Linked DNA regions of Callithrix jacchus. The protein of the gene in region 4 purifies or fractionates together with the protein of the main gene of each other region. This does not show direct contact. Links are inferred from orthologs where the notes say so. Each region holds a gene or a part of one and is shown on either strand. Other genes may lie near its edges. The genes, in order: WDR43, WDR75, UTP15 and UTP4.

The links.
Region 1: the proteins of UTP4 (region 4) and WDR43 purify together in Homo sapiens (co-immunoprecipitation; 5 studies listed by BioGRID and IntAct, counting the BioPlex papers as one, with this or other methods). This does not show direct contact. The link is inferred for Callithrix jacchus from reciprocal best matches to the Homo sapiens genes UTP4 and WDR43.
Region 2: the proteins of UTP4 (region 4) and WDR75 purify together in Homo sapiens (co-immunoprecipitation; 3 studies listed by BioGRID and IntAct, counting the BioPlex papers as one, with this or other methods). This does not show direct contact. The link is inferred for Callithrix jacchus from reciprocal best matches to the Homo sapiens genes UTP4 and WDR75.
Region 3: the proteins of UTP4 (region 4) and UTP15 purify together in Homo sapiens (co-immunoprecipitation; 4 studies listed by BioGRID and IntAct, counting the BioPlex papers as one, with this or other methods). This does not show direct contact. The link is inferred for Callithrix jacchus from reciprocal best matches to the Homo sapiens genes UTP4 and UTP15.

Annotation. Positions count from the first base shown.
Region 1 is NC_133515.1:86,107,997-86,111,219, reverse strand, and holds the end of WDR43 (WD repeat-containing protein 43), read left to right. Parts: intron 1-935; coding exon 936-985; intron 986-1,086; coding exon 1,087-1,269; 3' UTR 1,270-2,689; downstream 2,690-3,223. UniProt on the Homo sapiens protein: Ribosome biogenesis factor that coordinates hyperactive transcription and ribogenesis. Part of the small subunit (SSU) processome, first precursor of the small eukaryotic ribosomal subunit.
Region 2 is NC_133507.1:39,369,430-39,373,000, forward strand, and holds part of WDR75 (WD repeat-containing protein 75), read right to left. Parts: intron 2,563-3,571; coding exon 2,497-2,562; intron 1,644-2,496; coding exon 1,553-1,643; intron 1-1,552. UniProt on the Homo sapiens protein: Ribosome biogenesis factor. Part of the small subunit (SSU) processome, first precursor of the small eukaryotic ribosomal subunit.
Region 3 is NC_133503.1:137,496,370-137,499,940, forward strand, and holds part of UTP15 (U3 small nucleolar RNA-associated protein 15 homolog), read right to left. Parts: intron 3,567-3,571; coding exon 3,433-3,566; intron 3,265-3,432; coding exon 3,206-3,264; intron 2,712-3,205; coding exon 2,494-2,711; 3' UTR 1-2,493. UniProt on the Homo sapiens protein: Ribosome biogenesis factor. Involved in nucleolar processing of pre-18S ribosomal RNA. Required for optimal pre-ribosomal RNA transcription by RNA polymerase I.
Region 4 is NC_133521.1:26,716,058-26,719,628, forward strand, and holds part of UTP4 (U3 small nucleolar RNA-associated protein 4 homolog), read left to right. Parts: intron 1-884; coding exon 885-980; intron 981-2,778; coding exon 2,779-2,964; intron 2,965-3,571. UniProt on the Homo sapiens protein: Ribosome biogenesis factor. Involved in nucleolar processing of pre-18S ribosomal RNA. Part of the small subunit (SSU) processome, first precursor of the small eukaryotic ribosomal subunit.

The DNA.
Region 1 (3,223 bases), on a different chromosome or scaffold from region 4:
TAATATTTCATTATCAGTACTTTATGGGTTAAAATTCATGCTAATTCTTCTATTTCATTTATAAGCCAGCTTTTCTCTGTTGAATTTTTCCTCATCACTGGGGCTATTTGGTAGCCCTGATACAGTGTAGTATTTTAAGATGAGATTTTTGTAAGGGTTTTGCTAATTAATTTGTCCCAGTAAGATCTTGAAGGAATAATATAATGATATGCTTTTATACATATAAGAATAAAGTAGCCAGGTGTGGTGGCTCACGCCTATAATCCTAGCACTTCCTTGGGGTGGAGGTGAGCCGATCCTTTGAGTCCAGGAGTTCGAGATCAGCCTGGGCAACATGGCAAAACCCCCTCTTCTACCAAAAATTATCTGGGTGTGGCGGCTACTCAGGATGCTGAGGCAGGAACCTGAGGCTTGAACCTGGGAGGCAGAGGTTACAGTGAGCCAAGATCTCTCCACTGCACTCCAGCCTGCAACAACAACAACAACAAAAGTTATGGCTTAATTGGATGATTGCTAAATATAAATAATATTTCTGGCCAGGCACAGGGGCTCCTGCCTGTAATCCCAGCACTTTGGGAGGCTGAGGCAGCCGGATCATGAAGTCAAGAGATTGAGACCATCCTGACCAACATGGTGAAACACCGTCTCTCCTAAAAATACTAAAAAATTAGCTGGGCATGGTGGTGCATGCCTGTATTCCCAGCTACTCAGGAAGCTGAGGCAGGAGAATTTCTTGAAACCAGAAAATGTAGGTTGCATTGAGCCGGATTGCGCCACTGCACTCCAGCCTAGCGATAGAGGGAGACTGTCTAAAATAATAATAATAATGCTTTTTTCTTTCTAAAGTACATTCAGGAATCTGGTTCTTTTTAATTTCCAGGCTATACCCTCTGTTTTGTGTTAAAATTAGGCTGGGTTTTTTTCTCCCCTTACAGAATCTTCTGAAGAGGAGTCTGACGATGAAATAGCAGATAAGGATTCTGATGTGAGTGATTCATTCCCTGGTATATACATTGGCCTTTGTATACTCATACTTTGTAAGAATGAGGCCTTCACGAATGCTTTCCCTGTTGGTATTTCTACTAGGATAATTGGGATGAAGATGAGGAGGAGAGTGAAAGTGAAAAAGATGAGGATGATGCTGAAGATGAAGATGAGGATGCCGAAGGAAAAGATGAAGAAAATGGTGAGGACAGAGATAGAGCAAGTGAAAAAGAACTAAATGGAGATTCTGACTTAGATCCTGAAAATGAAAGTGAAGAAGAATGAAGACAGCAAAGCAAGCCAGTCAAACTATAAAACTCTGGCTCACCTTGCCCAGTGGTGAGGGTTGCCTCTGTGCCAGGATGCCAAGGACCGCTGCGCATTTCCAAATTCACAGCAGTGGATTCTACGCCACCTTACTGTCCTGAGCACCCCAGACTTAACTGTGTAAATAAAGTGTTTCATTCAGATGTTAATAAACTTTACACAGTATATAGACACATTTTCTGCAATGTACTGACATCAGTGTCCAATATATGGTATATTTTTATAATATAATATCCTAGTAAGATTGGTTATATCAGGAATTGACTTACGTGCAGATAAAGACCTTTCCCATAGGAGTTGAAGAACTGGACAGTTGTGAAGGAGTCAGCTCTTATCTCAGGTTGGTGTCTTTCATCAAATCCAGATGCAAAGCAGCACTAGTGAAAATTTTTTTAATTTAGTACATTTAATTTGGTACATTTTCATAAAATACAAAGGGATAACTAAAAACCGGAGTAAAAATGATTGTATTTAAAAAAAAGTCATCAATATCTCTAGCTTCTCTATTAACTGTGATAATCTGATTTGAGTCAGATTGAATATTTGAAGTGCTTCCCCAAAATAACCACTTATTTTTTAAGCTGTCATGTGAAGTATTTTTTTAAGACAGAAATTATGATAACTGAAAAACTAGAGAAGTAGCCATATTACGGAGTTTTCTTGTCTGCAGATTGCTTGTAAAGAATCATCAGTGTATAGATTAGAAGAGCTCATTACCTGCAACTTTTTAAAAAATTCAGTTATAGCTGCTTTTGAAGAGGTTTTCATTTTTATTTAAATTACTAATGGATCAAAGAGCAATTGTTTATTTTTTCTCTTTGGTTTTAGATATTAATGATAACCTTGCTGGAATTTTTTTCCAAAGAAAATATTTTTATAATTAAATAATTTAATGTTTTTCTTCCTTTTCATTACCTACTCTTGGCAGTGTTAGGGTATCTGTTTACCTTTAAAATGATAATATCACTTAAGATTTTTTATGTATGTACAAATAAGTATTTTGGTGTGCTACAAAAGCCTTTGCAAATTATCAGTAGTTTTTTTTTTTTTTTTGTTAAAGAATGAGCGGATACCGGCTTAGTGCTCACTAGGGGACATGCAGATGGAGGCTCACCTCTAAGAAAGGGCTGGGCAGATGGATCTATTTTTTCCCACCTGTGAATATGTAAAACAAAACCATTATCTTTGAGGGACTCTTTAATATTAGTGGCAGAACAGAAATTTGTGTGCTCAACTTAAGAGCCAGAGCCATATAAACATCTTGGGAAAGCAAGTTTGAACCAGCTACTGGTGTAATGTACAGTTTTGTCTATAAATGGAGCTGTTTATGGCAATTTAATACCATTTTCTTTGTAAAGTGAATAAATATTCATCTTTACCCAGTGCTTGTCTTGTGGTATATGTAGAGGAATACAGCCACATGTTTGGGCTTGTGGTGTGAAGGTTTTTAAAAAGCAGTTTCACTCCCCTGGCATTAAATAGGTAAGTGCTTTCAAAGCTTGTGGATAACCTAGAATTTGCAATGAGGTGACAGAACGAAGACATTTGTGTTAGTCTAGTGTCAGCTGTAGCTGGTTGATGCTCATGCATTCCCACTTGGCTGGGTTGTGACTTCACAACCCAGGGCTGCAGTGACAGTAAAGGAAGAGGCACGTGCTGATCAGTGAAATCCTGTATTGGTAACCAACACCTGGCTTACGAGTCCGGTTCCCTTATACCTGACTCGACTTAAAGAAGTAAATAATGACACCTATGTGGTAATTTCTAATTATTTTGTTGGTTTAGAAAAATCCAGAGTGAAATTAGACTTGTTGCAAAAAGAATCTTGTATTTTTAGAGTATTTCATTGTCTTTTTCCACTCCTAAGCCATGCAACAAAGTTTGTGTGTTTTCTTTTTTGAGATTAATTTTT
Region 2 (3,571 bases), on a different chromosome or scaffold from region 4:
GTATGAGGCCAGTGGTGCAGTAAGCAAGGCAGCTAGCACAGGGGAACTTTTCAAGCCTGACTGACATTTATGTAGCAGCAATCCAGATTTTCATATGCTGGGTGCCCATTACATGCCAAGTTCTGAAGACTAATAATAGATCTCCTTATGAGACGAATTTAGATTACAACACAAGATCTTTACTTTAGATCAGTAGTTTTCCACCCTGTCTTGCATATTAGACACAACTGGAAAATTTTTTCAGTAAACAACTAGGCCCCAGCATATAGAATCTTATTACTTCAGTTCTTTGCATGATTCCTATGTGTAGCTGGTGTTTAGAATCATGGATAAAAGTTTTGCTAGAGCTACTGGCAACTACTTTCCAACTGAGGAATCATGGAGTGAGTATAGGAGGCTGTTACCAAACATGAGCGATGAGCAGAATCACTTGGGATGATATTAAAAACGCAGATTCCTAAGGTATACCCCAAACCTAGTGATCAACTGCCAGTCAGGAAGAGTAGGAATCTGAATGTTTCATAAATATGTGAACCGATACCAAGAATCTACATATTCAATAAACAAAACTGAAATTAAACATTAAAAAGACTGCTATGTTTGAAGCAGTCATCTGGCAAGATGACTTAATTATTTTTAAGAATGTTGCCACATATAGAACACTTTTTGAAATGTGCTTTGGAGGTGGTTTACTGATCCTCCCACCTCAGCCTCTGAGTAGCTAGGACTATAGCCACCATGTCTAACTTATTTTTCTTTTTAGAGACAGGGTTGTGGTATATGTTGCCTAGGCTGGTCTCAAACTCTTGACCTCAAGCATTCCTCCTACCTTGGGCTCCCAAAGCACTGGGATTACAGGTGTGAGCCATCATGCCCGGCCCCACTAACCATCTTAAAGCTGCTTATATTCTTCATTCTGAACAGAACTATATTTCATGGAGGATACCACAGAGTATGGTGGCATTCTTGAATTTGGGGATCAGAAAATTTCTTTAGATGTGTCCTCATGTCACTGTTCTGTTTTATTAAATTCTATGATAAAGGACAATTATGTCATCACTGATAATATTCCAGGAATTCCTACAATGCTGATGCATGGCAGTTTCAATGGACCAATGTTTCAAAGACAGTGAAAATGTAATTAATAACTTAGTCACACTATTATTCTTAATACCAACCAATTTTCTTTGCCATTTCCTACCCTTACTCAAGAGAGTAAGAAGTGTTCAATGATGGATACAATGATAGTGATGCTTAAGAATAACAGATTTAAGTTCAGTAGGAAAACAAATTCTATTCACCTTTGCAAAGCAGGTTTAAAATTTGAACTTTGCAGTCTAGTATTACAACCACATAGAAAATAATCCTTCCTTCACTGCATATTTCAGAACTCATACAAAGCCTCTCCAAATAAACACAATAATGACAAAGCAATTTAAGTGCCCACTCTAAAAACTGTTAGCTTTAGATTAAAATCAAATGTTATATTTTGAGGAACTGTAAAATGTAAAGAGCCACTCAATGCCATATATAGTAAGTAATTATACTATACCTGGTTTTTCTTTATTTACTGTAACAAAGACAGAATCCTCAGTTTGGGCAACGGTAAACAGGGAATGAAGTTTACATCCAACTATGAAAGTCTGAAAGATAAAGAGCACCATAGTGTTTACTGTCTGGTCCCTCCAGTAGAACCTAAGATCCATTAGGGCAGGGATTTTCATATTTTGCTCATTGCTGTATTCCCAACATAAGGAGAGTACCGGGCCTACAGAAGACAACTGCTTCGTATTTGTTAAATACCCTCTCAAGTTTCCTACATACAGATCTGATTCTTTTTAATGGCTGTATAGTATTGTACTGAATAAATGTATCATAATTTTAACTGACATCAAGGTCATATTTAACTTTTTTCCTGCCATAAACAGTGTTGTAAGGACTACATGTACAGGCCATTATTTTAACAAGGGATTCTTAGAGGTTAGGCTGCTGGAACAAAATGTGTTTACTAATTTTAGTTTTAGCTCTCATTGTGTACAAAGTACCGGTTTCTCTATTCTTTACCTATCACTAGATTTTTTTCAATCTACAATTTGGCTGAACTTATGGGGAAATACTATATCATTTTTTAAAATTTCTGTTTCTTTGTTAATGAGTTTAAACATCTCTTCATATTTACTGGCTACTTGTATTTCTTTTTCTTTGAATTTACATATTCCTACTTTATGCAAATTTCTCCTACAAGGCTATTAGTTTTTCCTTATTGGTTTTTGGGAATATTTTTGTATATTTGGAATAATATTTTCTGTAGATATTTTCTCCCAGCTTTAACTTGTCTTTTTGTAAGTGGAAAATGTTTATGTAGTCAATTTTTTTTTGATGTCATTCTGTAATTTGTTTAGGAAATCGATTTAAATATTTGAAACAGTACATCTACCATTATATTACATTGCCTTTTATTTTCACATAAGGAAAAATAAAGATCAATCCACATACCTTTATTAAGATGCCATCTATATAGTCCCACAGTTTAATTGTGCCATCAAGGGAACAAGAATATAGCTAAAAGGGTAAAACAGTACAAAACTGATTTAAAAAAAGGAAATTCATCAAGATATCAAACAAATAATTAAAAGCTGATCAGGGGCATTTTCTATGCATTATTTCACTGTCAACCTTAAAGAGGTAGAGTCATTTATATTGCTTCTGTGAAACAATCTTTTCACAGTTCTCTGCAAGAAGCAGACCCATCCATTTCAAGTTTCCACTAAAAGAGAGAGGAAAAAAGTCAACCTTCTATCTTGAAGAGTGAGATGGTAAGGTTGTGAATGAGATATGTAAAGCACCTAGGTACAGTGGGTCCCACCTATAATCTCAGCACTTTGGGACGCTCAGGTAGGTGTATCACTTGAGGCCAGGAGTTCGAGACCAGACTGGCCAATATGGTGAAACTCCATTTCTAGTGAAAACACAAAAATCAGCCAGGTGTGGTGGCATATCCTGTAATCCCAGCTACTTGGGAAGCTGTGAGTGCAGTGAGCTGAGATCACATCGCTGTACTCCAGCCTGGGCAGCAGTGTAAGACTCAAACGAAAAAAAAGTATTTAACAGCTTATTGCTCTTTTTGCCGGAACTCAGTTTTATTAGCCAAACTCCTTTCAACTTATCAGTATTAAGATTGCTTCTCAAGTGATTAAGAAGATTCTGTGTAAAAAAAATTTTTTCCAATCCATCAAGGACCAATACTTTCATAAAATACAATAGAAATTACAATGTGCTAGGATGCTGTGGCAATGTCAAAGTGTTTTGTGACACTCACTTACTGTACTGTCATACAGAATGGTAACTAACAGTTTAAGATGCTGGACTGTGGACCATACTTTGGTAGCACCAGAAGACCTTAGTAACACATAGCTTAATTTTTGTCCTAGTGCACTTAGTTTTATTAAGTTTCCACTAGATTTTTTGTTTTTGTCGTTACAGGAAAGTACTCTGCTTATAATGTTTACAAAGAATTTTAATATTTTTAAAGAAAGTGGCAATTTTAGGGTTTCTGCAAATAGAGACAGAG
Region 3 (3,571 bases), on a different chromosome or scaffold from region 4:
ACTTGAGGTCAGGAGATTGCCTGAGGCCTGGGCAACGTAGTGAGACCTCTTCTCTCAAAAAATCAAAATAAAAAATTAGCCAGGCATGGTAGCTCATGCCTGTAGTCTCAGCTTCTCAGGAGGCTGAGGTGGGAGGATAGCTTCAGCCTAGGAGGCCTAAGCTGCAGTGAGCTATGATCGCACCACTACACTCCAGCCTGGGCAACAGAATGAGACCTTGTCTCTAAAAACAAAACAAAACACAACAAAAAGTACTCCTGAATTTAAGTATTGATGGCTATGGGTACTGCTTCCTAACCTTTTTGAAAATGTGTATCTGTGACATATTTTGAGAACTGCAGCACTCTGAAGTTTTGTTCAAGGGAATGAGTAGTTTAGGCCGCAGCAGGCAAACTATTTCACAGTGCTAGGATGAAGAGCTCACACTCAGGGACTTGGAGAGTGAATCGACTACTTTAGTTAACTCAATGTTAAATGAAAATAATATCAATCTCGGATGGTGAGAATCAAATGAAATGACGTGTGAGAAAGCCTCTGCCATGTTACAAAATTGATGGCAAATACAGCTTTAGGTAGAATTTCAACTCCTAATTTTTACTACTATGCAAATTATCAGAATATTTATGGCGTTAATGTTTTAAAAAGGTTTTTAAATAGAAACTTTATTTAAATAAATTAACCCTTATTAACCCCAAAACACAGCTTCTGATCTTGACTAAATTCATAATTATGCAGAGAAACACACTGCTGGTTCCTTACAGGCCACTGTGCTGTATGATTGCTGAAATCGGTTCATGAAAGGGAAACTGGCCCTATTTCTGAGTATACCCGTAGTAGAACATACTAAGTATATTCACTTAGTATATTAATTTAAATGTTAATGTTAGCCTAAATATTAATGTTTAATTTTTACTTAATAACCTTACTAGAACATATTAAGTATTTTTTCTGCTTAAAAAAACCCTGAATTTACCAAACTAAAATTATGAAAGCAGATTCACATTACAAAATCTTCCTCTACAGGTTCTTCTAGCTCAAGACATTTTTCTTACTGATTTTTAACTACTTGAGTTGGGACAAGAATTAGAGAAAGTTAGGAGAGGTAGCAACTATGAAATCAGTGTACTAGAAGTTACTAGCCAACAATTATCCATCCAGAATGGATACATCAAAAAGCCAAGAAAATAAGAATGTCTTTATAAAATAATAATAATATTTACAGGCTGGGCACCGTGGTTCATGCCTGTAATCCCTGCACTTTGGGAGGACTAGGCAGGTGGATCACTTGAGGTCAGGAGTTCGAGACCAGCTTGGCCAGTATGGTGAAACCCTGTCTCTACTAAAAGTACAAAAACTAGCCAGGCATGGTGGCACACACCTGTAATCCCAGCTACTCAGAAGGCTGAGGCAGGAGAACCGCTTGAACCTGGGAGGCAGAGGTTGCCGTGAGCCGAGACTGCGCCACAGCACTTCTCTACTGCATTCCGGCAATAGAGCGAGACTCTTTCAAAAACAAAAATTCTAAAAAATAATATTTAAACTTTCAAAAACAACTATATTTCAAAGCAAACTGCTCTGGATTGGGGTTCTACAACACAATATGATTGTGAAGAATGGGGGGAAAATCTAAATACAAATCAGAGAAAATACTTTTCAGAGGATTAGGTAGCTATAAGATAAGCTCAAAACATATGAAAACTAGTTTGAAAGGCTCTTTATTATAAGAAAAATGACAAATTCTATCATTCCTCTGACCTGAAACAAGGTGAAAACTTGTTAGAAAGGCTGCATGAAGAGAAGAAAGAAAAACCAAGAGGTAGATAGACCAATCAGGTCTATCTCTAGACCTTGCTCTCACACTGAATACAAATCTGGCTAGTATCAGTCCTTCAGAGCTGACCACTTAACTTGCCACACTTGGAACAGCTGCACTCCCATTACCGGCTGAAGCAGGGCATGTGATCTAAGACAAGTGTCGACATCAAGGAGAGAGGAAGCAAGCTACACAAGGGCCTAGAAATCCCAAAGGCACTGATTAGCGTCAAGAAAGAGGCTTTTTGTTGTTGCCGTCTGTTTTTGTTGTTGTTTTCCAGAAGTAATACAAGGCTGTGTTCCTTTAGCAGGATTCCCAGTTGGATCCTCTCCAGAGAGGATTCATATTTGAATTCCCATCTGAATACCAATCCAAATGTTGATACAGAATACTCCTGTACTAAAATTATTATCAACTCAACCCACATAAACCTACTCTGTGTCCAAGACAATTGAGATCTTCTAGGTGAAGATGCTATAAAATAATTCAAAACAGCACATGGAAAACCATGTCTTACTTAAAACAGGTACTTGTTTTCCGACCACAATTGTTCCAGTCTCTTCTACAGAACTGCTTCTGTAAATAGTTTTTATAAGTATCAAAGAGAGTCTCTTTCCAACATTTAATAGAGGCAAATCTATTCCAACTTCAGAGTTCTTAAATGCCTTATTTAGCAGACACTATGATTCTATCTTCTTATTCTCTGGAAATCCATCAGATGTATGTTCCAACACAGAAGTGCCTTCCTTCCCTCTCATGGTGGCAAAAAGCATATCCATCATCCCCAAGGTTTCTAACAATTCTCTTTGGTAATCAATCTCTTTTTCTACAAGTCCTTGAAGTAGCAAAAACTTTTTATCAACTACAGGGGACTGACCAATCACAGGCAGATATATATCTAAAAAGAGAGAAAGAAAACACATTAACTAGCAATATCTTTCTATTCATTAAGTGAAAAACAAAGTTCTTAAAAGTATAAAAATACCATAAAAACACTGAAAAATCTGTACTTATGTTATAATTAATGATTTATAGAAAGTATAATGATCCCTCTGAGTAAATTTATTTCAAAAAACAATAATTACAGAAAATATAGGGTGGAAGTTCTGACTTATTTTCATTTTCCCATTTGAAAAATTGTCATGGTGATTACAGATGTCTATGAAAACAAAATTTTTTTTTGTAATAACCCCAGTCCCATCAATTCCAAGTCATGCCACTGTAAACATCTTACATTTTAAACTGCTTTGACTTGTTGTTTTCTCCATGAAAATCCATATTGAGAATTAATAAAAGCAAGATATTTTGATCTACCTGATTTCCAAATCTGATTCTTTGACATCTCTACTTTTGCAAGCATGTTAGGATTTTCAAGTTTTAACAACTACTTACCAATAATTATTTCAGCAGCATTGATTAAAACAGGGGCAAATCTTGGCTGAGAAAGATTCCTACAAAGTAAAAATTCAATTTAGTAAAACTTGTAAACTTAAACAAAAAATCCTTAAAACAGATTTGTTTCTTCAGTTCTCTACAAGGATCAAACTAAATATGTCTTTCATTTGGTGATAAAGGATTTCAGATGCAAAATAAAAGTGTTTCACAGACATAAAACATACCTTATCAAAAAATTAAGAACACGACTGACTTCCTTTTCATCTCGACCTGCAAGGGCATTTGCGAGGACTCCTCTTCGATTTAACTCCTTTATGATGGACACTGTAATCTCGGGTGTCTTTATTGCACAAGTAGGCTAGA
Region 4 (3,571 bases):
TCACTGCATCCTTGACCTCTGGGCTTAAGCAGTCCTCCCACCTCCACCTCCCGAGTAGCTGGGACTGCGGGCCAGCCCCACCACACCTAGCTAATCTTTTTTTTTTTTTTTTCCTTAAGTCCCACTTCATGATTTTGTGTTTTAAGAGATAGGATTTTCCTATGTTGCCCAGGTTGGTCTTGAACTCCTGTACTCAAGCATTCCTTCCACCCTGGCCCTTCCAAAGTGCTGTAGTTATAGGTGTGAGCAACCGTGCCCAACCAATAGGCATTTATTTATTTATTTTTGAGGCTGAGTCTTGCATTGTTGCCCAGGCTGGAGAGCAGTTTTCATAGAGACAGGGTTTCTCCATGAGCTACTGTACTTGGCTGGCGAATAGGCATTTTTAAAGAAAATGAGGCCGAGCATGGTGGCTCATGCCTGTAATCCCAGCACTTGGGGAGGCCAAGACTGGCAGATCACCTGAGGTCAGGAGTTCGATACCAGCTTGCCCAACATGACGAAACCCTATCTCTACTAAAAATATAAAAAATTAGCCAGGGGTGGTGGCGAGCTTCTGCAATCCCAGCTACTCGGGAGGCTGAGGGAAGAGAATCACTTGAATCCAGGAGGAGAATCGCTTGAGCCTGGGAGGTGGAGGTTGCAGTGAGCTGAGATCATACCACTGCGCTCCAGCCTGGATGATAAGAGTGAAACTCTGTCTCCAAAAGAAAAAGAGAAAAGAAATTAAAGTTCATTGGTTGGGGAAATGCCTGAAATTTTGGGGGAACTTTCATAGAACCCTTTTGAGTTCCAAGGAGCACTACTTAAACTCCTGACCTAGACAACTCAGTCTTTGCTGAGGAAAAGTGTCACTTAGAGTTGTGTGTGTTATTTGTTCCCAGCTTCACTGCACGGTGCCTGCTTACAATTTTCCGGTGACTGCTATGGCCGTTGCCCCCAATACCAACAACCTTGTCATCGCTTATTCTGACCAGCAGGTAAGGGAGATTCCAATGCTTTCTAATCCCTTCCTTCTGGATAGTAACCTGGAAGCTGGGATATTGGGCAGTTGAGGGGAGCTTTTCTTTGAAGGTGCTGGAGGAGAAAGGTAGTTTTCTCCTGTGTGAAGTAAAGCTTCCTTGCCTGTCTGGGTTCATCATAGGCCAGCATTATCCATTGGTTTGATGGGATGCAGTTTAAATGGAGAAGTACTAAGATTCAAGAGTGAAGAATCGTAAGAGAGGGGAGGAATTTTGAAGAACTCATTTTCCTGATTATGCTAGAGCAGAGATGACATGGGCTTGGGTGTTAAACTCGATATGGAATGGTATAAAATTTTGAGAGTTGAAAGTGACTAAAAGATTGTATTATTCACCTTTACCCTTGCAGATGAGGAAATCAAGCCCTAGTAAGATAAGTACCTAATCTCAGCCAAAGTTAGAACCAAATCTGCCTTTTTCCTTACCAATTTGTAAGGAGATTGTAATTATAAAGAGATTTTTTTCCTCTGGGGTTTTTTTTCTTTGTTTGTTTGTTTTTGGTATTTTTGGTAGAGATGGGGTTATGCCATGTTGGGCCAGCCTGGTCTCAAACTCCTGACCTCAGGTGATCCACCCGCTCGGCCTCCCAAAGTGCTGGGATTATAGGCATGAGCCACTGCTCCCAGCCTATAAAGATATCTTTAAAAAAAAAAACAAAAACCTTGACTGTAGAACACATTAGGAAGTTATCAATTATTCTATGTCTTTATCTGTAAAATTGGAGATTATATCTACCTCACTGAGATTAAATGTAATTTTGGAAGCACATTTAAGTAGACTGCTAGGCAAACGATGCTTACTGTTTTGATGGTCAGTTTTTACACTAACACATACACACTGTCCAAAAAGTGAAATCTTTGTTTTATAGACTTGAGTCTTGATCAAAGACTGAAAGAGTAGTGAAGCCACATCTTTGCCTTTGTCACACATAATGATAATGTTTACTCCAATACCTTTTACTGGCATTTGGTCCCTTAAGTGCTTCTAAAAGTAAAACTGATGGGAAATTTTTTATATCCATTAGATTAGCAAAGATCAAAGAGTTGATAATACTCAGTGTTGTGAGGGTATAGGAAAATAGTACTCTCACACGTTGTGTAAATTATCCTAACCCTTTTGGAGGACATTTTGGCAATACCTTAAAAATTTTAAAGTCCACTAATCTTTGACTTAGAAATTTCATTTCCAAGAGTTTTATATATATATATATATATATATATATATTTTTTTTTTTTTTCAGCTATGCAAAAAAGACTTCTATACAGAGACCAGTTCATTGCAGCTTTGTTTATAGTAGACAAAGATATGAAACAAGATAATGTCCATTAAGTAGAGTGGATAAGTAAATCATGATGCATAAAATGAGTGGACTACTGTATGTTTCGGAATGGGCATGACTGATGTGTATGTGTATATTGATGTGGGTCAGTCTCCATGATATAATACTAAGCAAGAAGAAGCAAGATACAGAACACTACATATTATATGCATAAAATAGCTCTGAAAAGATGTAAACATGAAATTGAGGGTTGCTCTTGTCTTAGAAAAGAGGAATGTCAAGATTGCAGGATGACTTTTATTGTTCTATAATTTCCCTTCTAAAATTTTTCATTAAAAAAAGTGGTGGGAGAGCATAGACTGAATAAACTGAATACAGTTGAAGGTTTGTATAGATACTTTCTGGTTAGGAAGGAGAATTCCCTTCTGGTCTTCCTGGGTACCAGCCTGCATTCCTCTGTGTCATGTCCTTTCTCAGGTATTTGAGTACAGCATCCCAGACAAACACTATACAGACTGGAGCCGGACTGTCCAGAAGCACGGCTTTCACCACCTTTGGCTCCAAAGGGATACTCCTATCACACATATCAGTTTTCATCCAAAGAGACCGATGCACATTCTTCTCCATGATGCCTACATGTTCTGCATCATTGACAAGTCATTGGTGAGTTCTTCACTGCTACCTCACCAAATCTTCTTCTGAAACTTCACGTTCTAAAAGCAACAAGTACAATAAAATAGAGGAAGGACAATCAGAATAAAGGTAGCTAGTAAATCAGAATAAAGGTAGCTAGTACATTCCTTGGAGAAGAGGGGGTTTTGTTTTACAGACTCCCTGATTTGTGTTCCCACAGTTCTTCAGGAGGATCTCAGGGAAGGGGCTGGCCTTTGTGTACTGGCTTTTGCTGATTTGACTATTTCTCTGCTTTGCCAATGAGCATGTACATCTTACATACAAAAGTGATTAGGTCAATATTCAGAAGGTAACCTTCATCAGGAAGTTTCATTGATTTGGCTGATTCTCTTTGGACTTTGAACCCTGGGGTATCTGAATAACATGGTTTCTAAAGGAGGTAACAGGCTGAGGTTTTGACCTCTATGCCCCTTGGCTGAAGATGCTGAAATACTGTCTGCAGGCTTGAAGAACTGGTCTTAACATCTCCAAAAAACCCAGCTAGGAAAAATCTTCATGGCTGTGACATAGATGGGATAGGAGCATTTTCTTCAGTTTTAGATTCCAGCCTCTCTTTGCCAGCTGCTGTTTTGATTCA